Notamacropus eugenii: one gene and its partners. The protein of the gene in region 2 purifies or fractionates together with the protein of the main gene of each other region. This does not show direct contact. Links are inferred from orthologs where the notes say so. Each region holds a gene or a part of one and is shown on either strand. Other genes may lie near its edges.

Region 1 (7,027 bases), on a different chromosome or scaffold from region 2:
TTTACAAAAAGCTTGGTGAGAGACCTAATTACCCAATCATATTGATGGGGTGATGGGACCTGGGTCCCTAAAAGGAAAAGATCATGCCTTTGAAACCCAGTCCCTGAATTTTCCCATACATTTCAGCAGCCTAGATCACTAGTGCCTCCACCCAAGCCACCCACCTAGATGACCTAATTAGCTTACTTGACATTCCTTTCACTGTTTCACCAGGCCTACCCCAGACTATGTAGCACTCCTTAATCCCATTCAGATCCTTTTTGTATATAAGCATGTCTCACCCTCTTCAATTTGAAGATTCCCTAAGAATCTCTCCTCATTTGTCTGGAAGAAGGCTTGAGTGCTTGAATTCATTCCAGACACTGTCCTGTACCCTGATATTTCAGGGTTTCCAGCAACCCAAACCACATCAATATCCTCTCATGAACATTTACAGATGAAATGTAAATGTAAAATGAAAGAAGAGATTTGCCAAGACTTTTACAAAAAATTGCTTTTTCCTTTGATGACTGGGAGTCACCACTATTGTTTGTTAACTACAAAGAAAAAAAAACTCAACATTTGATTTGGTAGAGCAAGATGCTACCTCAAAGCCTGTCTTCCAACAAGGTGCCTCCCCTGCATATGTTAACTCATACATTCCTTGAACGGTACAATTGAGATAGCTAGGTCTACCCTCTTGTTATTAAAGTGAGACCTAAAACAGAACTAGGCTTTTTAAAAAGTGCTTGCCACTATCATGGAGATCTCTAGTACAGAGTCTAAATGAAAGAGGGATCAATCTCCTGTAGATGGTGAAGTCATCCAAATACCCTTATTTACAGATGACAGGGTGAAAATTCTAAAATGAGATCCATAATCACTTAAAAGACTTTAACCTAATTATCCATATGGAAAAATAAAGTATGTAAAGATGCTTACTGTCCAGACTATGATACAATAAGCTATTAGAGTAAAGAGCCCATAGTGTAGGTCCATCAGGGCATACATATTGGCTCTAACATACACTGCAAATGGACAATGAAATAAAAGAATTAAATAGGAAGGTTAAGAGAGTTTGAGGCAAGGAGATGAATAGTCAGACAAAGGATAGTGGTAAGTATAAAAAATAAAATGGATATTTTTAATTAGGTGAACTTTGCACAAACAAAATTAATGCCATTAAGAAAAGAGAAGTTGTCAACCAAAGAGAAAATCTTTATATCAAACATTTCTGATAATGGTCTAACATCCAAAATATATAGTCAGCCAAGAAAAATATACAAGAACAAAAGTAATTTTCTAATAGATAAGTGGTCAAAAGATAATAAGTAATTCTCAAAAGAATTGCAAACTAGTAAAAACCATATAAAGTGATACCATTAACTAAAAATAAGAGAACAGCAAATCAAAAGAACTCGTTTCACTTTATAACCAGCAAATTGGCAAAGGTACAAAAGATGGGAATAGTCAATGTCAAACGGATTGTGGAAAGAAAGACAGGCACACTAATGCATTGTTGGTAGAGCTGTAACTTGGTCTCACTATTTTATGGAAAGCAATTTGGAATTATTTGTGGAATGTGACTAAACTCCTATATCCTTTGTTCTAGTGTGATTCCACTAGTAGGCATTTTAACCTCAAGTTGGTCAATGACAAAAAAGAAAGACTTCACACATACCAAAATATTTGCTACAGAACTTTGTGATAGCAAAGAACTGGAAACAGTATATACCCAGTAACCAGAGAGTGACTAAACAAACTGTGGTATATTATGGTGCATAATGAAATGCCACTCTCCCTCATCATCTCCTACTGGCTTTCCTGGTTTCCTTCAAATCTCTACTGAAGTTTCATCTTTTCCCACACTTTCTCAAACCTATATCATTGCTAGTGCCTTCCCTATATGGGTCGTATTTATCCCATATATATGTTGTTTCTATTTGTTTGCTTTTTGTCTCCCTCATTAGATTGTAAACTCTGTGAGGGCAGGGACCGTTTTTACCTCTTTTCATAACCCCAATACTTAGCACAGTACCTGGCACATAGCAGGAGCTTAATAAATGTTTACTGACTGATAAGAAACAATATAATGACTAGAGAGAATTACATAAAAATACATAATTGATGCAAAGTAAAGTAAATAGAAGCAGGAAAACAATGTACAAAACAGTTTAATGAAAAAAACCAATTAAAACTGAATGCTGAGAAAGTATAATAACTAATCCAAGTCACCAAAAAGATATATTAAAATGGAGAGGTGAGGACCATGGGTGGGCAACACTACAGATAATGTGAAACTCTCTGGATGTGCTGTTTAGTTCTGCTGAATTTTTTTCCCTTTTTTTTTAAAAGTGTGGCCATACTGGGAAAAGTAAGTGATGCAAAAACTAAAAAGTTTGAAAAAAATTAAAGAGGTCCAATTGGAAGAGGAGGTAGGTAGGTTACATAAAGACAATGAAAGATAATAATGGATGACCCAAGTGTTCCACTGGTACCCATATACCATCAAGAGATATAGAGGAAGGAGCCCAAAATGTTTGGTGGATCCTGTGCAGAGGAATAATTACCATTCAAATGTTGGAAGTAATACCTACACAGAAGAAATCTCAAGTATGGTCAAATTTTGAAGCTTTGAAAGGTCTTCACTATTAGAGTTCTAGACTAGTAATTCTGATGGTGCTTCAAATCAGGTGAAAATATTTTATGATGGGAAACAGGATTTTTTGCAATCTTTTTTTCTTTCCAATCGCTAGTGTTTTGTTTTTTTCAAGACGTTCCCAGAGTACTGAACCACCATGGCTACCCATCTCCCACATTCAAAATCCAACTGAAATGCCACCTCCTCCAGAAAGCCCTCCCTGACCACCCCCAGGCCTGAAAGACCCTCGTGGTACCTGACAGGGCTATTCTTGGAGCTCTTTCCCTCGACTTCAGTACTTTCTCCAAGGATGAAGATGGCAATCCATCCATGCTTTCTCTCTATGGGTCCTTCCTGTCCACTTCTTTACATAAATTTCTCTAGAGGTTCTTTCCTCTTTATCACGTATAACTTTGCATTAAAGGTATTTCTATTTATTCATGTCAGCCAACCCACATAGGCTGTCAGCTTCCAGAAGGCTTGGGAGGATCCTAAGTATCATTTTAGACGTACGAGCACAGCACTTCACGCGTTAACTCATTAATTCCATCAGGTTGAAAGAGCCTCGAGGGCAACATCTGTCTTTTGCCTTTTTGTAGCCCGAGCGATGGGCACGGCGCCTGGCACATGGTGGGCACTCTCATTTAAGACGTTTATTGAATTGACTTTGATCCCTACGTCAGCCCCGTGAGTAGGCGCTCTCGTTATCTCCGTTTTACAGACCAGAAAACTGAGGCTCAGGGGTCAGGAGACGTCTCTGGGCTCACAGTGTCCTGAGGCACAGTCTGTGTCCTGGCATCTCTGCCAGCGCCTCGAGAGATTTAGTACATGACTGTGGCATTGAGGCTGGTGGTGAATCTGCCAAGCGGACACGAGGCTCCCCTCCATCGAGAAGGGTCCAGCTCGGCTGTAAGGCCCTGCAGGGACTGCACGGGCCTCTCCGAGCCGAGGCCAGCGGTTTGCCTGGGCAGAGGCCGGGCCAAGGGGCCGCGCGTTCCTCCCTCTCCGGCCCTACACGGGCAGGCCAGCGGGGTTTGACGCCCATCAATAAATGCGCACCGGCAAGACCCCCGTGTCCCTGTCTCTCCCACGGGACCACCGACAGCTTCCGGTCAGCTCTCATTCCCGCCTGGCCGAGAAACAAATCTCCGACCTGGGGAAGACACGCAGAGGCGTCCGCGAGCTACGTCTCGCGAGAACACGCCTCCTCCTCCGCTCCTCCTCCTCCTCCCCCTCCCCCTCCATAATCCCTTGCCTTCCCCCTGTCCCCCGCGCGAGCAGGTTCCATATTGGGTAAAATCTGGGCTCGCGGAGGACCTCCCCGGACCCACCCCGCGCGAGGCTCTCGCGAGATCTCGTCCAGGAGTTCCCGTCTGCGGGGAGGTGGGGTGGGGGGAGGGGAGGAGCTCGCAGATTCGCAGGCGCCGGAGCCGCAGCTGGCGCGGGAGCTGCCGTCGGAGCCTGAGCTGCACCGCCGCTGCTGCAGCAGCCACCTCCGGGCGGAGAAACCGGCCCTTTCGCTACCCCCGCTTCGGACCCCCTCCCGGCCCAGCCCTCGGGTACCGGGGGGAAGCAGCAGGAAGGCGGGCGCAGTCCCGGGTCCTGAGTGTGGGAAGCCCCCCTTGCCGGTGGCCAGGGTCCCCCGGGGGTGGGCAGAGTCGCCGCGCGCCCCCGGCTGACAGCGGCTTCGGGGGTCGGCGGGGCCGTCGCTGCGGCAGCACCTGCGGAGCGCCGGGGGAGCTGCGGGGGGGGCCCGGCCCCGACGGGCGGGCGGGCGGAGGCGCTGGCTGGCTCCCGCTGGGCCACCTCCCCTGCGCTGCAGCCGTCGGTGGAAGATGTCTCAGGAGAGGCCTAAGTTCTACCGGCAGGAGCTGAACAAGACCATCTGGGAGGTGCCCGAGCGCTACCAGAACCTGTCCCCAGTAGGCTCCGGCGCCTACGGGTCGGTGTGGTGAGTATCCCGAGCTGGAGGGTGGGACGGGGCCGGAGTCTCCAGCTTGCTTCCCAGGAGCTCAGGGATGCGCCAAGCGGCAGGAATTCCCCCCCACCTCGGAGAGGGCACTGCTCCCTCCTGCACACCCTCGTGCCCCCTCTTGCACGGCGGAGCCAGCTTATGACAACTCGTTTGCACCTACGTAGAGCCGTTTGCATTAGTCGGATACCGGACGGCCCGGGTTGCCTGCTCAAGGGGACTCTCTTTCTTCAGACCCCCCCGCCCCGCACCCCGTAGGGCTGCAGGGAAGATGGGAATGGGAGGTCAACTTATTGAGGAAGTTCTACCAGCGGAAGGCAAGCTTGGCCCTTTATTGATCTTTGCCAGCTTCGGCGGGCGTTCGCGACGGTTCCCCACCCGCCCCCGCCGTGTGTCAGATCTGGCACGGGCTGCAGACAGGCCAAACATGGGGAAGCAGCCTAAGAATGGGAGAACTAGTAAGACGTCGTTCTTGGGCAGCAAACCCCACTGGGTTTTGTGCCTGATGGGGGGGAAATGTTTTTTCTTACTTTTTTTTTTTTTGCAAACATCTGTTGATTAAATATGAATCCAGTTTTCAGAAACGGGCATATTTGATGAGATTTCATCATTCTCAACCTTTTGAGCTTGAAATTTCTTACATTTCTGCAAGCCTGCCAATTTTTAATGTGCATTGCAACCTCAGCTGGTTGGAAGCTAATTTTTTTTTTTTAAATGAAAAGAAGGCACCTACAAGGCTGTTGTCATTTTAGAGTTCCATGGAATGATTGCAAGCATTAGAGCATTTTTTTATTCAAGTATTGTAAAGTTCTTGACAGAACATTTTCATTTGACTCTGGGAAAATGGGCCTGGTGTGACATCCCTAAGATGAAAAGTGGTTGTTCACAGTGACAGAAATTATATTTTTGCACGATTGGGATAATATTCAATTCACTTTACCAAAAGTATTGTAAAAGTTTCATACCATGGTGCATTTGCTAGTGTACACAAGAACTTTCTACATTTATTGCTGAGAAAACAGGTGTAGAATGTTTGCCTCAGGAAAACAAGAAAATGGAGAACTTGAAAGAGGTCACTGGCTATGATGAATTGTAAATGTGTAGAAAGTATGTTACCATAATAATTCTTTATGTAGCGTAATTAAATTTTTTAAGTTAGATTCTTAGAATTGGAAGGGACTTTTGAAATTGTCTAATGTAGCCTTCCAGCAAAAGCAAAACTTCTGCAGTGTCACTAACAAATGTTCATTCTGTCTCAGTTTGAACAGTTCACTTCATATCTCATCGTTTCACAAGGCAGACCTTTCTCTTCTTCAAATTTATTTTAGTTTAAACACGTATTTAGCCAATGAAAGCCATATGATGAATTGTGTACTTTAGATTTGTCATAAATATTGGCCTGGAAATAAATAGGTGATGGTTACAGGGTTTTTTTTCTTTAGTGTTGTGTGCATATATAATTTGAAAATTGTTTGTAACAATTTCATACTTGCCAAATAATTTCTGTTTTTAGGAAATATTCCTCTTTGGCACACTCCTTCAACATGATTCCTGTGCTCCTTAGAGTCACATCATGAATTTCCTGTTTGGTAGAATTTGCTCTGAAACTGAGATTGTGCAATTGCATCCAGTAACAGATCATATTGCATTTTTAAGCTCACTGTTTAATATGTGTAGCAGATTGTACAGTACTCTGCATCTTTTTTTCCCATTCTTTCCAAATGAAAATTTTCATTATAAAGCAACTCGATTGAAATAATTTCTTTTCTGAAAACTCATCTATATTTGCACATTTTCAGTTTTATGTGTGACTATTTCTTTACCAGATCATTTGGTCCATCTTAAGTAAATCAATCTTAATGAATTCGATTTTTGTTTCCAACTAGAATTATTTATTAGTTGAGTGATTTTATGCTAGATGAACTAGTTGAATTGAACTAAAGAATCTACCCAATGGATTTATTCTTGCGTGTACTGTTTGTTTTCTGAACATTAGCAGTTCTGCATGAAGTAAACTGTCCACTGAGATATCTCTTATGACAGTGTGAGAATAGTAAATCAATGAGTACATTGTTTGGTTTGGTGTTATCTACTACATTTGCTGATTAGCTTAATTTATGAGCTATGCCTTTAAAGTAAAGTGACTAAAACATACATGCAAAGAGTTTGGGAGCAAGCTCTTCAAAACCTTCATAGTTTGTATGCCTAAGACTCTTGCAACATATTTGGAGCTCTTTTGGAATTATCCATCAGAATACATTCTTGTGAATATTTTCAGTCGTAGCATATTTTCTTCCTTTTGAAGCTGCTAGCTACAACCTTTTCCTTTGTAGGTAGGTTTCTGGTGGAGTAATGTAGGTGATGAAACTGGAAGATACTGGTTTTTTGGTCAAAAAGCCATGTACATCTATAAAGCATTGAGACTTTTTTGTGGT
Region 2 (7,941 bases):
TATGATCAGATTGGCAGGCCAGATATTCCCCCCCCCCCAGATATACCATATGGGGGAAAATCAGAATATCTGATCGGTGGGAACACCTTACTCCTTCCTCCCCACCGTAGATGGACAGGAATACACAGTGCATGAAAATCCAGATCTCCAGATCAAAAAATTAGAGAGTGATGACTCGATTTATACAAGGATTCTTTACTTTCCAGAAAGGCCTATACAGGATTCCTTTGAGTTGCCAGCTACCCCCTTGCATTTAAACTATAATTTGATTTTTTAAAAATCTGATTTAAGCGGAGGACAGCTGATTTCAATTTCTTATGGAAAACCTCCCCCTAGGCCATAGCTGGGAGGGGCAAGTCTGGGCAGAGCAGGCCCAAGCAGGGTAAAGCCCTGAAAAAAACATAATTAGGGAGATAAGATCTGGCAAGCTGGATGGGGTAGAAAGAGCCTTGGCCTAGGAGCCCAAGAAAGGTTTGCCTGTGAGTTTGCTCTGTGACCCTGTAAGGGAGGCAGGGTAGGGGGGCTATTCTCTTTTCTTCCAAGAGAGGAAACCGAGGCTCGCTTACACTCAGTCAATGAGGGATGTAGCTGGGGGTCAAAGCTTTACCTCGACACTCCCTCACAGGCCAGTGCTCCTTCCACCAAAACCTCCTGCTCCTCAAGGCCTCACTGTCCCTACTCCCACCTCCAGGGGCTGCTCAGTCTCTCAAGAGCTGCTCGCCCCAGTCCAGGCACCTACCTTGTAGGTAGTAGGCAGGGTGGCCTTCCTCTTGCAGCTTCTGGAGCAAGGTGGCTAGCACTGACTGGGCTGCCTCGGCTTCCTCCTCCTCAACACATTGGCCTTCATCATACAGGAGGATGGGCAGAGGGGGCAGCGGCTGCTGCTGTGGCTGCCACTGCTGCTGCCGCTGCTGCAGTGGGCTGGGGAGCAGGGAGCACACAGACAAATTGCCCTTCCTCAGCCTCCGAAGCAGCAGGGCCGGGAGGGCTACACTAAGAGCCCCCTGGACGTGGCCTGACTCATAGAGTTCCCTGCTCCGGCAGTCCAGAAGGAGCAGCTGAGGCTGGGGGGCAGCTAGTTCTCTGCTCAGCCACAGGGATGATCTTCCAAGGCCCTCCATGAGGAAAGATGACTACTGAGCTCCCCCTGATCTTTTCAGAGGGGCCAAGGATGGATATGTACATGACCCAGGGGCCAGGGCCAGTTCTTTCTCTTTCTCCTCAGGCTTTCTCTCTCTGTCTCTCTCTCCTCTCTCTGTTTCTCTGTCTCTGTCTCTGTGTCTCTCAAGCAAGGAAGAGGAGATGGGAAGGATGAGGGCTAAGGATCATCTCTACTTCTCTCAGTCCACTCTCAGAACAGCCCAAGGAGTCAGTCAGATAGTAAGGCTAGGCTGAAGGTGTATGTGTAGGTTTGTGCATGGGAATGGGGCAGAGGAAGTGGAAAGAGATAGTGATGGGATTGAAGACAACTTTTTTTGTTATTTTAAAAAGAGACAGAGACAAAAAGCCAAAATGAAGAAAACCACACTGTCTAGAACACAGCTGCCAATGGATCTCGTGGGCAAATGAAAACCTCCTCTCTCAGGAAGCCGTGAGGGATTTCCTTCCTGGCTCACCTGGCTATGTCCGTATCTTCCTTCTCCACTGAGCAGCTTTAGGAATGAACTTGGAGGTCCCAGGAATATTTAAAAAGCACCACTCCCTCCAAGCTCCAATCACAACCTTCACCTCCTAGGTTTTTAATCTCCCACCTTCACTTGAGGTACTCACAGGAGCCTGGTTCTTCCTGCTCCAACAATTGGGGGGAAAAGGTTGTCACCTTGAATCGCTATTTCGATTCTGTAGTACTATGACGTTGGTGGCAGTTTACTGGGACCTCTTCCCTGAGGGCCTGGGTGAGGGTACTATCCAAGAACCTTCTTTCCAGTCCCTTTCCTGACTCAAAGTTCTCTGTAAGGCAAAGACTCAATGGGGGGGGGGGCAGGGAGGAAGGCTAATTCTCCAGGTCAAGAGGGAGGGTCCAGCAGCCCCTGATCCCACCAGATCAGGGAAGAGGGAAGGAGACCATCTTCTCTTAGGGAGAGGGTTTGTGACCCTTTGACTACAGGGTCTTCAATAAATTCAGTTGGACAATTCAGTGTTTTCAGGGGGCTGAGGTCTCTTCAGATGTTTGGTCAAGTTGTCTTCTAGAGCTGAGGAGAAGAGTAAAACTCAGAAGAAACTGAGTCCAAGGCCAATCAGAGCCTTATGCAAGGGGAAGAGGTCCTGAGAATCTGAAGGGCTGTTCTGGATCTCTGGGAGTTGAGGAGGGGGAATTGTTCTTCCAGATGTGCTACAGCTGGAATTGAGGGGAGGGAGAGACACAAAACACGCAGAGGAAGGAGGATGTGAGGTGGTGAAGGGGCAGGATTTCCTTCTTCCCCCTAGCCTATGTGCTGGGGTATTGTTTTCGAGGTGATTGGGGAAGCCAGGGGGCCCAGACGGCTGCCTGGGTATCCAAAACCGCTGGCAAATCAAGGGCAGAATCTGAAAGAAGAGGCGGCCAGTGGCTGGGCTCTCAGAACTCAGCTAGGCCTTCGGTGGGCTGCATGGTTCCTCTCGGAGAGACCACCCGATGAAGATCTGTTAGTCGCCCCAAACGCAGCGACTGGGGTGGAAGGTGGAGGGCAGTGGTCCTGACACGACCTGGTGCTGAGACCTGTAGAGTTGGAGAAAAGAAGTCAGGAGCTGAGGTCAGCTCCCCAATGAGAAAAGCAGTAGGTGAGCCTGGGGGCAGAGCCTGAGTCTCCGGAATTTCCCAGTTGGCTGGGAAAGGGGGATGGGGAGGATGAAAAGAGGAAGGAGCATTGGCCTATGTATTTATGCATGTGTAAGTTGGTATGTATTTGCATGTGTCTCTGAATGCGGGGATATAGGTGTATGTACACATATGTACACGGGCAGATGCATGTCTGTATGTACCTCGGAGTGTGGGCATGTATATGTTGGTGTGTGCATTAGTGTGTATTTGTCTTGGGATACCTACTTCTGTGTCTTTATGTATATGTGTGTGTGTGTGTGTGTGTATGTAAGTGTGTGTAGGAGTGTGTGTATGAATGTGTGTGTGTGTGTGTGTGTGTGTATGAATGTGTGTGTGTATGGGCCTCCGTTTCCTGGCACCCTGCCATCCAACTTCCATCCTGGAAACTATTTCCTTTGGACACTGGGGTAATTTTCAGGGGGTGGGTGGGGGGATGGGTAAGGACAGAGGAAGGGAGTCAACCTGTAGAAAGGGGTGTTGAACTGGAGGGTGAGGAAGGAAGAGCTGAACAGCCAAAGGCTGAGGTTTCCATGAAGGCAGGGGCTGGGAAGACTGGGCTGGGCACACTGGCACCCCCTCACCCCGCAGCATGAAAGTCCCCTCATCTCATTCACCTGATAATGGATGACTGGTTTGTCCTGTGTATATGTGTGAGACAGACATACATACACAGAGTCAGAAAGGAGAGAGACAGAGACTAAGAGACAGAGAGACAGAGACCAAGAGACAGAGAGAAGCCCTGAGGCATGTTTAACCCTCTTCCCTCGATGCTATTCTCCCCTTAGGCACTTCCCCAGACACCCCTCATGCCTTGTTCCCCAGTCTGGCTTCCCTCTCCTAAGCCATGACTATGGAAGCAATCGAATGCCAAGGTGCTTTGGAGTCTGGTGCATTGGACCAACTGGGTATGGGGAGCCCAAGGGCCTTTCTTGCCTGCGTGCACCTCACTCCCTACCTTACAGATACAGATACAGAATGTTGAACGTGGGAGAACCCCCCCCCCATTTTATAGATGGGGAAACTGAGACCCAGAGAGGGGAAGGGACTTACACAAGGGCCTTCAGCAAGTTTGTGGAGATATGGCACCAGAACAGAGACTGCAAGACCTAGAAGGGGCCTTAGAGACCACTCAATCCACTCTCCTCGTTTTTTTCAGAGGAGGAAAGCAGATGTCCAGAGATGGGAAAGGCCCGCTGCTTCTCTAACCCCTAACAATGGATGTGTCTGAGGAGGGTACCTTATGGGTGTTGGGGGGGTCGCGCTGGGGAGAATACAGATGTGTTAATATTGGAGGGGAGTGTGTCGGGGTGTAAGTGCTGAAAGGCTATTGGGAAGATTGTGAGGGTGAATGTGTGTATTGTGGGGGAGAGGGGGGGTAGAAGGCTGTGTTCTGGTGGTGTTCTGCATTAGAAGGATTGTGGGTATGAGCAGAGGGCTACAGAGTGGCGTGTATGTGGGTTTGAGCGTCGGGTACCTGGGTACGAGTGTGTGTATGTGTACGTTTGTTGGCGGTGTGGATGTTGGGGTGGGATGTGCTGGAAGATTCAGGGGGTGTTGGGTTTGTGTCTGAGTGTGACAGTTGGGCCGGGGGGTGTGTTTAGGGGTGTGTGCTGAAGGTGTGCGTTGGTGTGTGTGTGTATGTGGTGCATGCATGTGTGTGATGTCGGGGTGTGCAGAGTGTGTACGTTGGGGGGGTGTTGGGATATGTCGGGGTGTGGGTGTTGGGGATGAGGCTCCCGCGAGTGGCGGTTATGCAAGCAGCTCCCCATGCCTCCCGCAGCCCCGCCGCCGCCGCCTTCCAGCCCCGCCCGCTCTCCTCTGGGCTCCCTGCGCCCCCAGCCCTGGGGTGTGCGGGGGTGGGGTGGGAGGGACGTCCGGCTGGCCAGCAGTGCCCCCAGTCCCACGGCCCGGGTCCTGGGCGCCTCTGCGGAGAGGCACCAGGGGAGGGGGAGGGGGAGGGAGGGGCCGGACCGGCGCGCGCTCACCTTAGTGTATTAGTGCAGAGCCGCGCTCCGCCGCAGCCGGGGGGAAGTTTCCGAAGCCGGGGGGTGGGGGTGGGGGCGGCGCGGTGGTGCCGCGCTCCGTCGCCGCTAGCACCGGGGCCACCACTGCGGGCAGGAGCGGGGCTCCGGAGCTCGGGGCAGCGAACGGCCTCGCGCACAGTCGAGAGGGAGCAGGAGGGGGCAAGTGGGCGAGTAGCCCGCTGCCTCCGCCGCCGCCGCCTCCCCCGGCTCCGGCTCCGGCTCGGGCTCGGGCTCGGGCTCGGGCTCGGGCTCGGGCTCGGGCTCGGGCTCCGGCTCCGGCTCCGGCTCGGGCTCCTCCTCCGTACCTCTGGGAGCAGCGACCCGCACCGCCGCCACGGGCACACGGGCACACGGCACACGGCACACGGGCACACGGGCGGCGAGCCTCCGCTCCGGCTCTCGCGCTCCTCCCGGCTCTCGGCTCTGGCGCTCACCCGAACCGTCTCGCGTTCCTCTCGCTGTCTAGCTCTGTTCTGTCCCTCTCTTTCCCCTTCGTCTCTCTCCCCCCCCCCCCTCCCGTCTCCCCCTCTGTCTCCCTTTGCGTCTTCCCCAGTCTCTATCTCCTTTCTCACTCTCTCTTTCTCTTTCTTTCTGTTTTGTCTCTCTCTTCCATCTCTGACTTCCTCTCTCTGCCGGTGTGCCCTTCTCCCTATCTCTCCCTCTCCCCTCTGTCTCTGTGTCCCCTCTCTCTCTTTGCTCTCTCCCTCTCTCCCCGTTTCGCTCTCTCTCTCCGCTCTCTCTCTCTCCCTCCCTCTCCCCTCTCTCCCTCCTCTCTCTCTCAAAGCTCCTCTCTATCCCCCCCCTCCCGCCACTTGCCACTGCCACCGCCCCCTCTCTAGAGGAGGGTGGGGTGGGGGGGACCTGAGCGAACAGTTTGAATCCTGTGGAGGCTTTTAGCTCCACGTGGGCACTCCATCCAGCACCCGAGCCATGCCTCAGAGACCTTCTGAGCCTCTGGGCCCGGCTGAGGGGCAGCTTGGTCCCATACCCCAGTGACCCCAGGGCTAAAGGGTGTGAGCGTGTGGGGTGGGGGGACAGGCACACGCTGCTTTCGAGTCCCCCCGTGTGATCACTGAATGGTGATCCCTGAATGTTGAGAATGCGCCATCCCCATCTCCTCCTCCCTCCCTTCCTAGGGATGGAGGGGATATGAAGCCGGGAGACTTGCTTGACTTTAGGGCTCAGTCTGAGGCCAGGGTTCGGGTTTTGTCCGAGGCTGTATTCGGCCTCGCTCTGGGACCAGTAAACAGACTGGCCCCCACAGGGCTCAGAAGTGACCTTGGTCTCATTCCTTACAAGGAAGCCATGTAGTCACGGCCCCTCATCCTAATGCCTTCCATGTGTACAGCCCACTCAGGGCTAGACTGGGAACCCAGAGCAGGGCGTCCAGGCAGCCGAGATAATACACAACTAATGCCCTGTCAGTCCTTGACCCCTGCACCCTGCCTCGGGGAGCTCCTAGCCTGGGCTTCAGGAGGCAGAGGAGGCAGCACGAGCCTCATCCCGAGGCTAACCTGGGCCCGGTCTTTAGAGGCCAGACGGAGAAGGGAGACCTCGAGCTTGGGGAAGCCCCACGGACCCATTGATCTACAGCTGGAAAAGAGCTGCAAGGTTAGTCTAGTAATCCAGCTCCCTCCCGTAACCGGTGAGGAACCCGGAGTGTCCCCCATTAAGTGATGTGTCCAAGATTGCCACAGCTAGCAGTGGGCTGAGCCAGCATTGGGACCTGGGTCCCCTCCCTCCCAGCCCGGCATGTTTTCTGTTCCAGCAGACTGCCTAGATGAGAAGATGCTTTCGCAGTTCAGCATCAAAGCTGACCCCAGATCTGGGGCCTCGCTGTTGCTAGGACAGGATGAGTGAGGGAAGGGGAGAAGGTGACCAGCAGCAGGCTTTTTTCTGTGACTAATCCCCCTGAGTCATCAGCGCTCAGACATGCACAAGTGCGGAGAAGCAATTTCCCAGCTACTGTCCCAGGTCCCAAGGGCCTCCTCTGTCATTTGCTACTAGGGCTGGGCTTTCATATACACGGAGCCCCCTCCACACTAGGATTTAGAGGGGGAGGGGGGAGGGGGAGGAGAACCCTGCCTGTCATCAACGTGTTGGACAATATACCAGATTGAGAGTTAGGAAAACTGTTTCTAGTCTGGAACTGCTGTTAATTCAATGTGTGGCTTTTGATAAGGAAGTCGGAGACTCAGTTTCTCCATCTATAAAATGGGTTTATATGTTATTTGAACCCAGAAAACACTGACAGCTTGTCTACCCTTTCTGGGGTCTGCTCAGAACGTGCGGCCACCCGCGCCCCCCCCCCCCCCCCCCCCCCCAGTTCTGGACGTTGTTCATCCCTTTGGTAATTCTGTGCTCTCTCTTGCCTGTTCCTTCTAAGCCTTCTTATGCTTCTGAGCCCACCTCCTCTCTGAGTGTCCCCTGCTTGTCCCAGTGCCAAGGTCACTGTCCCCTCTCTCTCCCAGTTCAGGCCTCACTGTCTGCACCCATAGTACATTCTGCCCAGCACTAACTCTTTTAAAACTGGTTGTGTTCTGGGGTTTTTTTGAACCTTGTCTCTCTGGCCAAACTGGGTACATTCTGAAGACTTCTTTTTACACTGCCTCTGAGGCTACGGCCAGATCCTCAATGCAGATGACTCGGGTGGAATGGAATTGCCCGGCATAGCATTGGCAGAGATGGGACTTGGTGGAAGAGTTAGGTGCCCAGTTCCCCCTCCCCCATCTCCCCATCTCCAGCCAGCAATGAAGTTCCCTGGCTAGTGGCTGGTGACTCAGGGCTGATCCAAGAGGGGAGGAGAAGAGTATGTGTATGTGTGTGTGGTGTGTGTGGTGGGGGGGGGGAAGAAAGGTAAACTTCCCAGAGCCATTTTCATTAAATAATGCAAGCCCTTCCCCACCCCACTGTGCCAATCCACCTTCTATCTCTTCAGTCTCCCTGGTAACACTAGGGACCACTGTCACAGAAAACACACACTTGCTTGAGTGCACACACGCGAGCGTGTACACACACACACACACACACACACACACACACACACACACACACACACACACACACACACCCAAACCGCCATGAAGGCGTCCAGTCCAAACGCACCGTGGGATCCTT
Region 3 (7,277 bases), on a different chromosome or scaffold from region 2:
TTCCTTCACAAACTTCCTAACACTTTTTCTAATCCTTCTCTCCTGATCTCCCGGGAGTAAGTGACCAGCAGCAGTCAGGAGTAATGAGACCTGAGACCAGGTCAGGGGATAATGATTGTCTCACAAAGAAGCAACCAGAAGTCAAAGAGAGAAAACCAGAGCTGAGCTGAGAGTGAAGACCTAGAACTGTGGGCCTAGCATAACTTCTGTGACAGACTAATATACCTCCTGTGATAATGAAGAGACTGAGAGTTAACCAGAAGACTAGTGCTCCTCAGGAGACATATGATCCACGTTACTGTGAAAAGGAGTGGCCATTTGGGGATAAATGCTGAAAGTTTAAAACTTGATTTAATTCTAATATTCTTTCATATTAAATAACTTTGCTTTGAATCTATAGGCATCCCAGTTTAGTTCAGTAAAAGAAACATTGTTAGGGACTCATCAACAGTGAGTTTAAATTGCTAATTAGTCTAACAGTACCAGGAACCTAGAACTAGCTGTAAAAGAAAGGGGTGGGGCTCAGGATGCACTTGATAAACATATTATAAAGAAATTATTACATTCAATTGAGGGGTATAGGGAACACCTCATGAAGGATTTAGATCAACTGGAATTTAAAGGATGGGTAGAATTTCAAAAGACAGAGGTAGCAGGTAGGACTTTCCAAAACTGGGAATTGTATAATCAAAGGCATGGATAAAGGTATGACATGGCTGGTCATGGTGGCACACATCCTTAATTCCTATTACTCAAGTGGCTGATGCTGGTGGATTGACTGAGCTTGGATGTTTTGAATTATATTGCAATAGCTCTAGAGGTGATCAGGTGTCCTCATTGACTTTGGCACTAATATGCAAGAAGGTGTTTCACCACACTGTCTAAGGAGAGGCAAGCTGGCTCAGGCAGAAAATGGAGCAGGTCAAAAGCTGCCATGTCATCAACAGTAGCGTCAGACCTGGGAATGGCCACTTTACTTCTGGATGTGGGTAAGGTGGGGAGATCATTCAAAAAAAGGAAAGTATGAGATGTGTACAGAGGATGGCAAGTAGTCCAATTCAGCTGGAGTACAGAGTACACAGTGGAGAGAATACTCTTATATAAGACCAGAAAGGTGGAAAGACACCAGATTACGGAAGCCCTTGAGTGCCAAATTAAGGAATTTTGACTTATATTTGGCAGGCAAAAGGAACATATGGAAAAATTTGAACAGGAGAGTGACATGATCAGATCTGTATATAATAATTTGGATCCTGTACAGAGGTTTGATGTCTTGGGAGGAGGATAAGATAATCAAAGGAAAGGGCCAAAGATAAGCCTTGGAGAATAATTTTGTTAAAGAGTTGGGAGAAGAAAGACCAACCAGGGAAGGAAATAGAGAAGGAACAGTTAAAAGTAGAACCTAGAGTGCTGTGTCACAGAAGGCAAGGGAATGTCAAGGAAGAGGATTCTCTCTCTGTGTGTAAACAATAAGGCCATTTATTCAGAACATAAATGCATAATAAAGCACATTCCTAGTGAGCGTAGTTTCATTTCCCTTCCCCCCCAGACTAGTTTGAGTTTTGACTGCCATCTGATTGATGATTCTGATGGGGAAAGATTTGTTCCAGGGGGGTTGAGCCTTGCAGGACTCGGGTTTTCAACAGTGTCAAATGCCCCAGAGATCACAGACAAAGAGGAAGAGGCAGAAAGAAGAAAATGGAGTAGTTGTTCCTTTGGCTCTGCACTTGTACAGACTGGAAGGATTCTGTGTATTTCCAGACCTCCTAATCATTTTTACTTTTTAAAATTCTTAGTTTCCTTCAAGGTTCAGGTCTGATGTAGATATTTACAGGACCCTTCCAGATCCAACCCACTTTCCTGAATACTTCCTTGTATTTACATATATTTGTTATATACACCCAGTTAAACCTAAGTTTATTTAGATCAGTAACTGTTCTGTTTTTGTCTTTGCAACCCCAGCACCCAGTACAGTACCTTCATATAGAGTAGATGCTCAATGTTTGTTGAAATTAACTTAATCTCTAAAATTCTTTCCAGCTCCAATTTTATGGCTGATTTAATACGCTGAATCAGTCGCCTCCAACATAGGAGTTAGTTTCAGGAAATATCATTCATAGTCACTAGAAAATGATTTTTACAAACACTGCATGGGGTGAAATAATTGCAGTCTTATATGACAAGCTGTCATAGAACTAACTTCCCTATGTTAGCACTCCACCCATGGCTCACAGCAGATCTCTATCTGGTACTTTATTGAGTCACTGGTCTCTTGTAATTACACGAAGTTAGTTTATAAAAAAAGCCTTATCATATTAGCAAGGGCTAAACCCAGATCCTGCCAGGCCTGTTGCATGTTCCTCGGGGGTTTATTAAATTAGCATATGAGCCACACCACCGTGAATTAGTATATCTGATTCAGAAACAAATTATGAGGGATTCTGGAATCATGAAGCTCCATTTTGCACAGGTCTGCTTTAGCACAAGAGGAAGATTTTGTTCCTGATCTTTCGAGGGGAAAAAAAAATCATACGGAAGCCCTCCAGATATGTTTGTATAACCCTACCCTATTGTACACTGTTGTCTTGTCCTTTCAAGAAATTCAGTGACAGGGAGCAGCAAAGTATAGATAAACCAGAGGAAGACTTCAAGTATATCAAAAAGAGCTTCTAGGAAAGATTAACGGAAAGCTGGGAATAACATCCACATATGCAGAAAAAAAAGATGGGTTGCTTTGTGCACACTCCCCTGGTAATGGAGCTGGGATAATCAGTCATCTCAAGTATCAAAGGAAATCTAAGTGGTAAAGTGGATAAAGCCCTTAGGCCTGGAGTTAGGAAGACGTGAGTTCAATTGCAGCCACAGACACTTGAGCAATAATTAACCCTGTCTGCCTCAGTTTCCTCGTCTGTAAAATGAGCTGGGAAATGGCAAACCACTTCAGCATCTTTGCCAAGACAACTCCAAATGGGGGTCACAAAAAGCCAGACAGGACTGAACAAGACATCAGTGGAAATAATAACTTAATCTGTACTGGGGGAAAGGCAGGCAGGTTGGTGACTAATTTTTTTTTTTGACTAATGAGGTTAACTCATGATTTCTGTCCATTTCCAGGCTGAATAACCATTTAGAACTAGATTTAAAAAAAATTTAGTTTTTGCTGTCCTAAATTATCATCCTCTATGCAGTTTTCTCAGCCCAGTCTGTGCTCAGGGGGTAAATTAAAAGTGATGAAATTTCTAAGAGCATGGAGTCTAACCTTAGACGGGATCACGTCACAGCCCACTCCCCAAAAGCTCCCTGTGGCCTCCAGGGTCAAGCACAAGCCTCCCTGCGTGGAGGTCACCTAGCCCCCTCTGAGCTTTCCAGTGTCCTCACACTTGCCCCCTGCTGTTCTGGGACAAGGTCCTTCCCCTCCAGCTGCAGGCACTTCCTCCGTCTGTCCGTCCCCCCTCTCCCAGCTGGTGCCTTCCCTCCAGAGCGGCATCACTTCCGTGTCCTCGTGGAGCTCCTGGAGGGCAGGCACTGTCCGTTGCCTCTTTATTTCTCCAGCATTTTGCCCGGTGCCTGGCACAGAGTAGGCGCTTACCAGATGTGTACTGACCAATGGCATACCCACTCCTCTTGTATCTATGAAACAAAGCCGTCCTCCCAAGGAGGGGCAGAGGGCCACAGGGTCGGGGTCGGACGCGGGCCTCGGGGCCACGCGGTCTAGGCCGCTGTTTTACAGAAGGGGAACCTGAACCCCAAGCCTGTTGGGGCACCTGCCCAGGCCCTCTGGCCCAGGACGGGAAGCTGACCCCCCTTGGGCTCTTCCCTAACTCTCCAGGTGGAGGCCTAAATGTGGCCGTGGGTGAAGCCCCGGACCTCTGCCCTCTCGGCCCGGCCTTTCCACTCGTGCTCGTGAAGGCGCTTCACCGATGTCCACGCAGTTTTACTGCCCGGAAGGGCCTCGCCGCAAGGCCCTCAACCGGGAAAAGACAACGAAACTGAGGCCCGGAAGACATAGAGCGAGGCAGGCTTGCCCAAGGCCGAGCGGCGAGGGATCGCGCCCCTCCGGCAGGGGGTGGGGTGCCAAGCCCCGGACACTGCTCCCAGGAGGCCCAGGCCTGCGGTGGAGGCCGGGCAGAGGCGTGGAGCCCAGGCCGCGCAGGCGCAAGCGCCGAGCCCGCCAGCCCGAGAGCCAGGAGCTGCGAGCCAGCGGGAGCCGGGGGGCGGGGCCCGGTCGGGGGCGGGGCCTGCGCGGCGGGGTGACGACACGGAGGGCGGGGCCGGCGCGCGCCTAGGCGGGACCCCGGGCGGAGCCGCGGGGAGGGAGGGGAGTGGAGATGGCGGCGGCGGTGGCGGCTGAGGGGGGAGGGGGCGGGGAGCCCCGGGGAGTTGACGGGTCGGGTCCGGGGGTCCCGGGCAAGGTGGAGATGGTGAAGGGCCAGCCGTTTGACGTGGGACCGCGCTACACAGAGTTGCAGTACATCGGGGAGGGGGCGTACGGCATGGTCAGGTACGGGCCGGGGGAGGGGGCTCCGGAGGTGTCCTGAGAGAGGGGAAGGGGCTCCCGGGGTGTTTAAGGAGGGGAGGGGTCTGCGGGGATTTTCTTGGGGAAGGGAGGGGAGCCCAGGGTACGATCTGAGGAAGGGGAGGGGTCTCTGGGGATGTTCTTAGGGAGGGGAGGGGCCTCTGGCGATGTTCTGAAGGAGGGGACGTTCCGAGGTTGAGGAGGGGGCTCCGAGGATGTTCTAAGGGAGGAGGGGGTGTCCAGGGGTGTGAGGAAGGAGGAAAAGGGAAAAGAGGGAGCGATCAGAGGAAGAGAACGGGGCTCCGGAGATGTGCTGAGGGAGGGGGCCCTAGGAAGGGGAGGGGGCCTGGGCAGGTTCCTGGGGGGGAGGGGCATCTGGGTGGGGAGGTGTGAGCTCCCCTCAGACTTGGGGTGTGGGGCTGGGCTGGTGCATGGCTATGCCCCTGTCTCTGCTGCGCCCCTCTAGACATCCCCCTCTGCGGGACAGGCCTCTCCTGGAGACCCAGATCCCCGCTCGTTCCTTATGTATACTTTCTTCAACCACCACCCCTGTGGCCCTTTGGTACCCTCCTTCTGGGCCCCATCTCCTTTCCTCCTAGGATGCCTGGCTTGAGGACTTCCTGACGTATTTTCTCTTTATTTCCTATTTTCTCCTTACCCTCCTCATCCCTCTTTTAGACTTCTGGGTAATAGGAATAGAAAGAGACATACTAGGGGTCCTAACAGCTGGAGTTTAGGTTGAGAGGTGGGGAGGAGGAGGGTCAGTGGTCTCTTCTTCCTGGAGTGAAGTCAGAGCTTGGGTTGGCTGGTCCCCAGCCCACTCCCTGGAGGCTTCAGGCACTAGTGGCAGGAAGGAGCCAGCATTGTTTACTGCCTGGTCAGAGTTCTCCCTTGACCCCCCCCCCCCCCCATCCTCCCTCCACCTCCTCCTCCCCTCCCTCTTCCCATCCCCTACCCCAAGGCCTGGGTGGAGCTCAGTGGCCTAGGCTCTGCAGATGTTCCCTTAATCTCTAGGCTATCCTGCTCCCCCCAAACCAACCCCCCCCCCAATTCTGTCTGCATTTTTTCTCCTTCCCCCTGGGCACAGCTCTCCTCCAGCTGTGATCCAGGATAGATCCTTTGCCCTCTGCCCCAACAGCTCTGCCTTTGACCATGTGCGGAAGGCCCGGGTAGCCATCAAAAAGATCAGCCCGTTTGAGCACCAGACATATTGCCAGCGCACCCTACGAGAGATTCAGATCCTGCTTCGTTGCCATCATGAAAATGTCATTGGCATCCGTGACATCCTTCGAGCACCCACACTGGAGGCCATGAGGGATGTGTATCCTTAACCCCTTTATTCAACTCTGACCCCAGATCAGGCTCTGTAGGGGCTTTTTTTTTCCTTCTCTGTCTTGTGTTCCTTTCTCGACTCCATGCCCCAGTAGAAGAGAGAATGTGGTATAGGGAGAAGCGAAGGGGTTTATGAATTAGTTTTGTTCATATGTTTCAGTCATGTCCAAATCTTCATGACCCCTTTTGGGATTTTCTTGGCAGAGATACTGGAGTGGTTTACCATTTCCTTCTCTAGCTCATTTTTCAGATGAGGAACTGAGGCAAACAGAGTCAAGTGACTTGTCCAGGGTCACACAGCTAGTAAATATCGGGGGCCATATTTGAACTCAGGAAGAGGAGTCTTGGGTCTTCAGACCTAGCACTGTATCTACTGTGCCACTTAGCTACCCCTATAAATTAGTAGATCCTGATTTTAATCCCATCTTGTGCTTCACTTTCTTCTTATAAAATGAGATATTGAACTAGATGATCTCTGAAGTTCCTCCCAGCTCTTAATATTTAGAGATTCTGAGACCTTGGCCAGGTCTCTGCCCATAGTCAGGGTTTAATTAAAATTTTGTAGATAGTGAGTCTCTGCAACAGAGCCTGTGAAGCCCCACATAAATCTTCTATATATCGCCTGTTTTCCTGCCAACCCCTCCTTTTTCTCCTGTCAAACAGATGGGGGCTTATAGCCATCTTCTCTTGAACTTTCCCCCTCAAAGCCCCACCCAGGTACCTCCCCAACAGGAAGATCCTTGGACCTTGTCCAGATTTTGGACTGTATTATCATGCCCTTTTTCCTCTCTGCTGTCTTTTTCAGTTTTCCTCCCTTTATTTTCTTCCAAATGCCCTTTCCTCTTCTCAACTTCAAGTGAAACCCTGTCAGTCCCTTTCCTCCCACCATTCCCCATGTGTATGGATTTATACTGTAAAAAGAACTGTTTGATGGGGTCCGGGCCATTCAAAAATAAAATGGCAGAAAAAGACTAGATGAAGGGGCCCTTTGGTTGGCCTGATGGGGTTACTGACAATAGCATCAGTCTGTTATTCTCCTTAACTCTACTTCCTATCGGTTCCCCCACTTCCTGGTTGGAGTGGGGGGGAACTCCTCCATGTCTCCCTCAGCTACATTGTTCAGGACCTGATGGAAACAGACTTGTATAAGCTGCTCAAGAGCCAGCAGCTGAGTAACGACCATGTCTGCTACTTCCTGTACCAAATCCTTCGGGGCCTCAAATATATCCACTCAGCCAATGTGCTCCATCGGGACCTCAAACCCTCCAACCTGCTCATTAACACCACTTGTGACCTCAAGGTGAGAAGGCAGAGATGGCAGACCATCACGTCTCTTCCTTCTCCCACCTCACCCCACTTTGCCCTGTATGTACGTCCAATCTCTGTGTCAAGAAGTACAGCCTCCAAGCTGCTTATCACTGTCTGTGGT
Region 4 (7,969 bases), on a different chromosome or scaffold from region 2:
AAAGGGAAGTGAATCTTATCAGGGACCTGAGTTTGAATTCCAGCTCTGCTACTGCTTACATGTCTAACCTCAAGCAAGTCATTTGTCCTCTTGGAGCCTCAGTTCCTTCATCTGTAAAAGGAGGGGACTGGAATAGATGGTTACTAGAAGGTCCATTCCTGGTATGATATCCTCTTCATATCTTTTTTTTTTTTTAAACAGAAATTACCATCTAGTACATAGTGATCTTTTGGATCACAGCACAAGACTTTACATTTTTCCCATTCAGTTCCCTCTTGTTAGTTTCAGTCCAGCACTAGCCTGTCACCATCATTTTAGATTCTCGTAGCGGCTGTACTGTGAGCCTCAGCTCACTGCCTGGATAAGTATATCTTTTAGGTCTTCACCAAATCATTAGTGAAAATGTCCAACAGCAAAGGACTATTGAATATTCTGAAGGCTGGGCCGTAGGCAGAGCCTTGGGGTACTCTGCTAAACACCTCCTTGGGTCATCATTAATTACTGTCCTTGGGGATTTGGGATCTCTGGGCCTGAATTCCTCCACTGAGATCCTGGGAGAACCTGGCAAGTCCTGTGCTGAAATACAGGAATCCACTTTCTAGGCCATTGCCCTGATCTGTGGAGTCCAACAGGCCAGGCAGGGCCAGAAATGAGATCTGTCTCGCCCAACACGCTTAATGAGCATCTCTTGCCTTTGAAATGTCCCTTACAACTGGCAATGGCTGCCACGTTCACCTGCTACAGCAGCACTTGAATTATGTGACTTCCCTCCTCTGGAAACTTTAATAGCTCCACAGGAGCCATGGAGAAAAAATTCTGACATTTCAGCCTGACATTCAAGGCCTTCCACGGCACCAACCTCTGCCTCTAGCTTGTAACTCACGATCCCCTCTCAGACTCCAGATGTTCTAGCTTTCAAAGCAAACTACCCAGCCCAGTTTCTTTCTCCACACCTTTGCACACACTGTACCTTCTGCCGGTACACCCCTCCACAAACTCTGTATCTCTTTCTACTGGTATCACATCCATACTTCCAAGCCCATGGAGGCTTCCCTTCTCTGGTAATCCTCCTGCCCTAGGCTTAGACTATCTTCTCCAAACCCTGCATCCCCAGAACCAGTCTGTCCTTTCTTATGGGACAGCCATTCCCTACCTGGGCAGGGAGTCCTTTGGGTCCCTGACTTCAGAAACATCCAGGTATAGCATGCCTGGATCCCTGGCTGGAAAGTCAGGGGGCCAGGGATCTAGCTTTGCCACTGACTCCCCGTGTGAGCTTGGACATCTCCCTTGCACACTCTTAGCTTCAGTTTTCTCTCTGTTTAGCCTAGACCTCTGAGGACCCTTGGGCTAGGCCACATCTGCCCTGCTGGAAGGTAAGCTCCTTGGGGGCAGGGCAAGAGCCTCTCTCAGAAGTGGCCTGTGCATAGTAGGTGCTCAGCAATCTTCCATAGAAGTTTGGCAAGAGACCTCGACAGAGGATGCCTGCCTCCTCTCAGGAGCTGTGGGAGTGCCCAGAGACCTCTCTTTCTTCCCAGCAGTCCCTTCCTCTTGCTCCACTCTGCTTGGCTACAGCTGTTACCACAGTGAGTCTGCAAAGCCTGAGCTTGGCCAGAGCCAAGGTAGGGCCCTGTGGGCCCCCTGCAGCCCGGTTCTGCCTGAGCTCAGCTGCCCACCCATCACCAGGAGCTCCTCCTCCTCAGCTTCTAGCCCTCAGTTCTCCCATGGCCAAGCCATGCCCAGCCTCATACTCCCTGCTCCCCGAACAGGGCTCTGGGCTCATTTGGCCCTCAACCTGGATTATCCCTTGTCCCCATTCTGAGTGAAGGTTGTCTTCCAGAAGAGGGACTTCTACAGAGCTATATCTGTCTCCAGAAGGGGGAGCCTCTAGGGCTGTGTCTGCCCTGGAAAGCAGAACTCCTCTAGGGGCTGCCTTTCAGAAGAGGGAGCCCCCAGGGCCCAGGGTTCCCCCACCTCTGACCCGGGGGTCCCCAACAAAAGGCCTTGCCCCTCAGCCCTATTGGCTACTCCCAGAATCCCTAACGGTCACAAGGGAACTGGAGTCAGTGTGTGTGGCTGATTAGCGGTGGAGACGAGCCAGGAGCTGAGGGGTCAGAGTTCAAACCTATGTAGCCTTTATCCACCCCCCACCCCCATTATCTAGGGCTCCCCACAGGCCCCAGGAAGTCAGTATGAGCTGGGACAAACAGACATCAGGCTGACTGACAGGGGGAGCCTGAACCCATGGTCACACAGTAAGTACCCCAGCAGTCTCCTCCCACCCCCCCACCCCCAAGACAAGGGGCTTTTGAATTAGCTACTGCCCTCGGCCCCGGACCACAGTCCTCCCTCCCCACCCCAACTCTGGCTTCTGAAAGGGCTGGGGGTAGGCTGGGAAGGGGGGTGCTACCAGCCCAAAATTCAGGGGCGCTCCTGCCAGCCAGTTCGGGGGCCGGGGGTATCCGGGGCTTCTCCGACTGCGCTGGCAGGGCGGGGGAAGGGAACTTCCATTCATCCCCTTTTTCCTTCGTTCGTTCATTCATTCATTTAATCCGGGAAGGGCAGGGCGGGGCTGGGGGGGGGGTTTCTCCAGCCACCACCCCGGCTCCTCCCCGGGCCCCTCTCCCCTCGTGCCCTCCCCCTCCAGCCCCCAGCCCCCGCAGCCCGCCCGGTACCAGACGGAGCCGTAGGCCCCCGAGCCCACTGGGCTCAGGCTCTGGAAGCGCTCGGGGACCTCCCACAGGGTCTTGTTCAGCTCCTGTCGGTAGAAGCCGCCGCGAGGAGCCGACATGGCTCGGGCCTGGGGGGCCGAGCTGGCCTCTGTCGGGCCCCGCTCTGGCCCCGGCCCCGGCCCCGGCTCGGGCTGCGATCCCTCCAGCAGCCTGGATGCCCGGCTCTGCCCACCCGGCGGGTCCGGCTGGCAGAGCTCAGAAGCTGCCCGGGGGTCCCAGGGGCAGGGCGGGGCGGGGCATGGGGAGAGGGAAGGGGCTCCGGTCTCCGCGACCCCGCCCTCAATGTCTGGGGGCGGAGCCACTGCCGCGTTTGAGAGAATCCCCAGAAAGTGACCCCGCCCCACCGAGGTCCAGGACACGCCCACAGCCCCCTTTCCCCCTCCCCCCGCCTCCCGGCCCCTCCCAACCCTCCACCCCCTCCTCTCAGTCCCCTTCCCCGGACCCTCCCTTCCCGCTGCCGCCACCCTACATCATCCTTCACCCTGAGTTCTCATCCCCTTTCTCCTGCACCCTGGCCACGCGCCCCTGAGCCGATTCCCGGGCTGTCTCCACCCAGCCATGAAGTTGCGTCCCTCCCAAGTCGCTCAGGAACCTCCCGTGGCTCCCTTGTGCATGAGGAACAAACTCCAAATGTCTCAGCCTGACGTGTGGTTCTAGCCGAACTGGGCCACTTGGCGCATCCCGGAGCCTGCGCGATTCCATCTCTTGCTCTCCCGAGCCTGGAGCTTTGGATGTCCTTCCTTCTGCTCTCGGGACCCTTCCTTTCTTCCCGGCTCTATCCAGCACCCGTTGGGTGGCCTTGGTTCACCCTCGGGGTCACACTTCGCTGGTTACATCTCAGCCCTGGTTGGATCGAGGTTCCTTGAGGGCAGAGCCACATTCCCAGGGCCTGGCACCGGGGCCTGCAAATCAACTGTACAAACCTTTATTAAATGCCCACTATGTGCCAGGCACACGAAGAAAGGGGCAAACAATTCTTGCCCCAAGCACTTAGAATTCTAATGCAAAAACAACATCCAAGTGCATTTAGGGTTAGGATTACATTAAAAGGAGCTTAGTAAATGCTTAAATTGAGTTTTAAGGACTGGTATAGAGGAGAGTACTGGACTGTGAGTCAGAATGCCTGGTTTTAAATCTGGGGTCCACCACTGAATAATCTGTGAGACCTTGAGTAAGTCTCCATGTCTTCTTGAGACTCAGTTTCCTACTCTGTAAAATGGGGAGTTTGGATCCTTGGACCATGAAGGTGCCTTCCAGCTCTAAACCTTTGGTTCTGTGTGCACTTAGTCATTCATTCATCCAATAAACATTTATTAAGTATTAAGTAAATATCTGAGGCAGGATTTGAATTCAGGTCTTCCTGACTCTTGGCCCACTGCTCTCTTTACTGAACCACTCTCCTACCTCTGAGTTATCTAGACAGAAATACCCCTTTTAACAATATGAGAATTCATCAGTCTGAGACACAGTTGTGGGAGTAGAGTCACTGAAATCACTTGAAGAGGGAAACAAACTTGAGGAAGGGACTCGGCCACAAAGAAGAGTGGCAGCTATGGAATGAAGAGAGAATCATCACTGTCAATTGAGAGCAACGTGGAGAGGAACAGAACCTCAGGACCCAGGGGAGCAAGCCACCCAACAGAGATGCTCCAGTCAAGGGGAAGCTGTGTGAGATTCCCAGGAAGAGAGAAAAGACTTCCAAGCCCCACATTACCAGGAGTTATAAGAAACCTTGGCTTTTATACGCATCTTATATGTGTGTGCCCAGCTACTGTTGTGCCCTAATTTTATGCCTGCTCGTTTGTGGGAGAGGACATTTTAAGTTTATCTTGGGGAATGTTTGGTAGCTATTAATCCTGGCACATAGTAGGCACTGAATAAATGCCTGTCTACAACCTGACTCTCCTTACTATGCCATCTTAGTAAATACCTTTGCTAAGAATCAGTTGTACCCACATCACACCTATAAGATTGGCAAACATGACAGAACAAGAAAATGATAAATGCTGGAGAGGATGTGGGAGAGTTGGAACACTAATTCATTGTTGGTGGAGCTGCGAGCGCATCCAACCATTCTGGAGAGCAATTTGGAACTATGCCCAAAGGGCTACAAAAATGTGCATACCCTTTGACCCAGCAATATCGCTACTAGGACTATATCCCCAAGAGATCATAAAAATGGGAAAGGGTCCCACATGTACAAAAATATTTATAGCAGCACTCTATGTAGTTGCCAAAAACTGGAAGTCAAGGGGATGTCCATCAATTGGGGAATGGCTGAATAAATTATGGTATATGAATGTAATGGAGTACTATTGTGCCATAAGAAATGATGAACAAGAAGACTTCAGAGAGGCCTGGAAGGACTTATATGACCTGATGCTGAGTGAAAGGAGCAGAACCAGGAGAACTTTATGCACAGCAACAACCACAGTGTGTGAGAATTTTTTCTGGTAGACTTAGATTTGTGTAATAACACAAGAACCTCTTACAAAAAAAAAAAAATCCCAATGGTGGATCTCAAGGCAAAATGCCTTCCACACTCAGAGAGAGAAATATGGAAGTCACTCACATAATGTAGCAGATCATGTTTGTGTATGTATATGTGTTTGTGTATCATGTTCTGATTTGTTATACGATTTCTTTCATTTATCTTAGTCTGACTACATAGCATGACTATGGTGAAAATATTCTCAATAGGAAAGTATATGTAGAATCTATACAGAATTGTATGCAGTCGTGGGGAGGGAGGGGGGTAGTGGGGGGTATGTGGGGGGGCATAAAATCGCAATTGTATGGCAGTGATTGTTAAACATTAAAAAATAAAAATAAAAAAAAAAGCCATATTAAAGGGAAAAAAAAAGAATCAGTTGTACCTACTGGCTGACTGTTAATGGAAAGCACATTATATGGGTACCCAGGAAAAGAACATTTGTACAAAAATATTTATAGCAGCTCTTTTTTGAAACCAGAAACAAAGGGGATATGTTCATTAATTGGGAAATGCTAAGCAAATTAAAACATGTAAGTGTAATAGAATACTTTTGTGCCATAAGAAACGATCAAGATGGATTCAGAGAAACCTGGGAAGACTTATATGAACTGGTGCAGATTGAAGTGAGCAGGACCAGGAGAACGATCTATGCTATAACAACTCAGTAACAACTCTGATTAAAACAATGACTTGGGTCAGTTTGGCTGGCACAGTTAATAGGTCAAGGGCCCCAAAGTCAGGAGGACCTGAGTTCAAATCTAACCTCAGACACTTACTAGCTATATGACTCTGGGCAAGTCACTTAACCCCAATTGCCAAAAAAAAAAAAAAAAGGATAATGATGAAGCATGATTTCGGAAAGTCCCTGAGCCAGTGGATTTAGGGTGCAGATTGGGATTTTAGGGGACCTGGTCAGTTTGGGAATTTGTTTTGCTTAACTATGCATACTTGTTAGGAGGGTTTTGTTTTTCTTTTCTTTTTCAATGAAAGGGGGAAGAAATAAAAATAATTTTTGTTAGTTAAAAAAACAACTTTAATTTTAAAAAAGGAATGCATACCCAAAGGTAGTCCCTTTGAACCTTGAGAGTTTCCTTTCTGGGAATTGCCTCAAGCCAGGTACTACAATTAAATGAGAAGTACATTGAGAGAGGCCCATAATAAAAGGCCCAAGGAGAGGGGACTTATTGGAATTGAGGAGGAAGGGCAGGTTAGCTGTCCAGTGGAAGCCAAAGTTTTAGGTTTAAGTCTCTTCCCCCCTCTAGCCTTAGTTTACCTGGTGTAAAATGGAGCAATGATCTAAATAACCTCTCCTGTTCCTTCCATCTTTGATGGCCCATGAGTCTTTAAACCAGTATTAGGCAGACTCTGGATAGGGGTGTGTGTGTGTGTGTGTGTGTGTGTGTGTGTGTGTGTGTGTGTGTGTGTGTGTGTGTGTGTGTGTGTGTGTGTGTGTCTGTGTGTGTGTGTGTGTGTGTCTGTGTGTGTGTGTGTGTCTGTGTGTGTCTGTGTGTGTCTGTGTGTGTGTGTGTATGTTTGTATACAGGACTTGAATATTCTAGAAGCCGTGGAGGGACTGGGGGACTAAGGCTGAGGCCCACCCCACTGCCCATCAGCCCTGTTTTTGCCTGAGGAAGAGGGGGAGGAGGCTTGAGCTGGCAGGCCTCCTCCATCCTGGGTGCCCCTTCTCTCTCCTTCATTAGTTCCCTCCTCCAGCCTTTTCACTTGACCACATTTGAATCTCAAAGGTGAGGTCAGAGCCTTCTGGGGTCCTTTTTTTCCTGGAGACAAAGAAGCTTTCCCTCTCCCTCCCCCACCTTCCTTTCTGTATCCCAGAGCACATGTAGAAATCTACTTTCCCCTCACCGCCTACCCCCACTCCACTCATCTTGGACCTTTGTGTGGGTCCATGGAACTGGGATGTGGGCAGCCCCTTCCAGTGTACAACCCTCCCCCAGCTTCTAGAACTTCTCCCAGCCACTTCGAATTCAGAGAAAGGGGAAGAAAGCCCTAGCAGGTTGGGGGTGGGGTTCAGTGGGAGCACTGATGGGTAGACCCATGGGATGAGAAGAAGTTACATGGGCCTAGATGGATGGAATCGCCAAACCATGGGCTGATGGATTTAGCCAAATATTTTTTAAAAAGTGATCTCGGAAAGTAGCCAGTTCAACCTCTCCACCCCACCCCCACTCACTCTAGGAATCTCCCCTGAAGCCTTTCAGACTGGGACTCCTCTGACCTCACTGAAAACTTTTGAGGACAGGGAGCTCACTACCTGATATGGCTGGTTGTCTCACTGTTGGACACTTCTAAAAGCTCAGGCAGTCTTCCAGTATAAGGTGAAATCTGCCTTCTTATAATTACCCCCCAGTCTCCTAGAGAGCTAAAGAGAGACTGATATTAAAATTCTGCCTCTTAGTAGCTATGAAGACAAGTCTCTCCACCTCGATTTGCCTCAGTTTTCTCATTTGAAAAATGGGGGCAAGTACATTTGTTGTACCTACCTCCGGACAATTTCCTGTAGATGACAGAGGATGATTGTTCTCTGCAAACTTTTAAGTCCTAAATGAACCCAAAATATGCCGTGTGTCCTCTCTTATCTATGTCAAGGGAGTGTCTCATTTCTAGACCACACTCCCTACCATGGAGAGCTCCTTGAGAGCAGGACCTGGGGCTGCTCCTCTTCAGTCCTCCCAGATTAGAAACTGCTGATTCTCCAGCCTTGTTTTAGCAGCAGGATCCCCTACTC

The links. Proteins that work in one complex are often made in the same cells at the same time.
Region 1: the proteins of DUSP9 (region 2) and MAPK14 purify together in Homo sapiens (affinity purification with mass spectrometry; 8 studies listed by BioGRID and IntAct, counting the BioPlex papers as one, with this or other methods). This does not show direct contact. The link is inferred for Notamacropus eugenii from reciprocal best matches to the Homo sapiens genes DUSP9 and MAPK14.
Region 3: the proteins of DUSP9 (region 2) and MAPK3 purify together in Homo sapiens (affinity purification with mass spectrometry; 4 studies listed by BioGRID and IntAct, with this or other methods). This does not show direct contact. The link is inferred for Notamacropus eugenii from reciprocal best matches to the Homo sapiens genes DUSP9 and MAPK3.
Region 4: the proteins of DUSP9 (region 2) and MAPK11 purify together in Homo sapiens (affinity purification with mass spectrometry; 4 studies listed by BioGRID and IntAct, with this or other methods). This does not show direct contact. The link is inferred for Notamacropus eugenii from reciprocal best matches to the Homo sapiens genes DUSP9 and MAPK11.

Annotation. Positions count from the first base shown.
Region 1 is NC_092873.1:93,170,763-93,177,789, forward strand, and holds the start of MAPK14 (mitogen-activated protein kinase 14), read left to right. Parts: upstream 1-4,013; 5' UTR 4,014-4,455; coding exon 4,456-4,571; intron 4,572-7,027. UniProt on the Homo sapiens protein: Serine/threonine kinase which acts as an essential component of the MAP kinase signal transduction pathway.
Region 2 is NC_092879.1:22,351,555-22,359,495, reverse strand, and holds the start of DUSP9 (dual specificity protein phosphatase 9), read right to left. Parts: upstream 3,006-7,941; 5' UTR 2,699-3,005; coding exon of another isoform or gene 2,626-2,698; 5' UTR 1,122-2,625; coding exon 740-1,121; intron 1-739. Other genes in the region: uncharacterized protein, read right to left, coding at 2,626-2,698, 4,786-5,320, 5,637-5,828, 6,266-6,407. UniProt on the Homo sapiens protein: Inactivates MAP kinases. Has a specificity for the ERK family.
Region 3 is NC_092872.1:46,779,391-46,786,667, forward strand, and holds the start of MAPK3 (mitogen-activated protein kinase 3), read left to right. Parts: upstream 1-4,263; 5' UTR 4,264-4,328; coding exon 4,329-4,501; intron 4,502-5,654; coding exon 5,655-5,837; intron 5,838-6,958; coding exon 6,959-7,148; intron 7,149-7,277.
Region 4 is NC_092874.1:304,210,840-304,218,808, reverse strand, and holds the start of MAPK11 (mitogen-activated protein kinase 11), read right to left. Parts: upstream 3,015-7,969; 5' UTR 2,789-3,014; coding exon 2,673-2,788; intron 1-2,672. UniProt on the Homo sapiens protein: Serine/threonine kinase which acts as an essential component of the MAP kinase signal transduction pathway.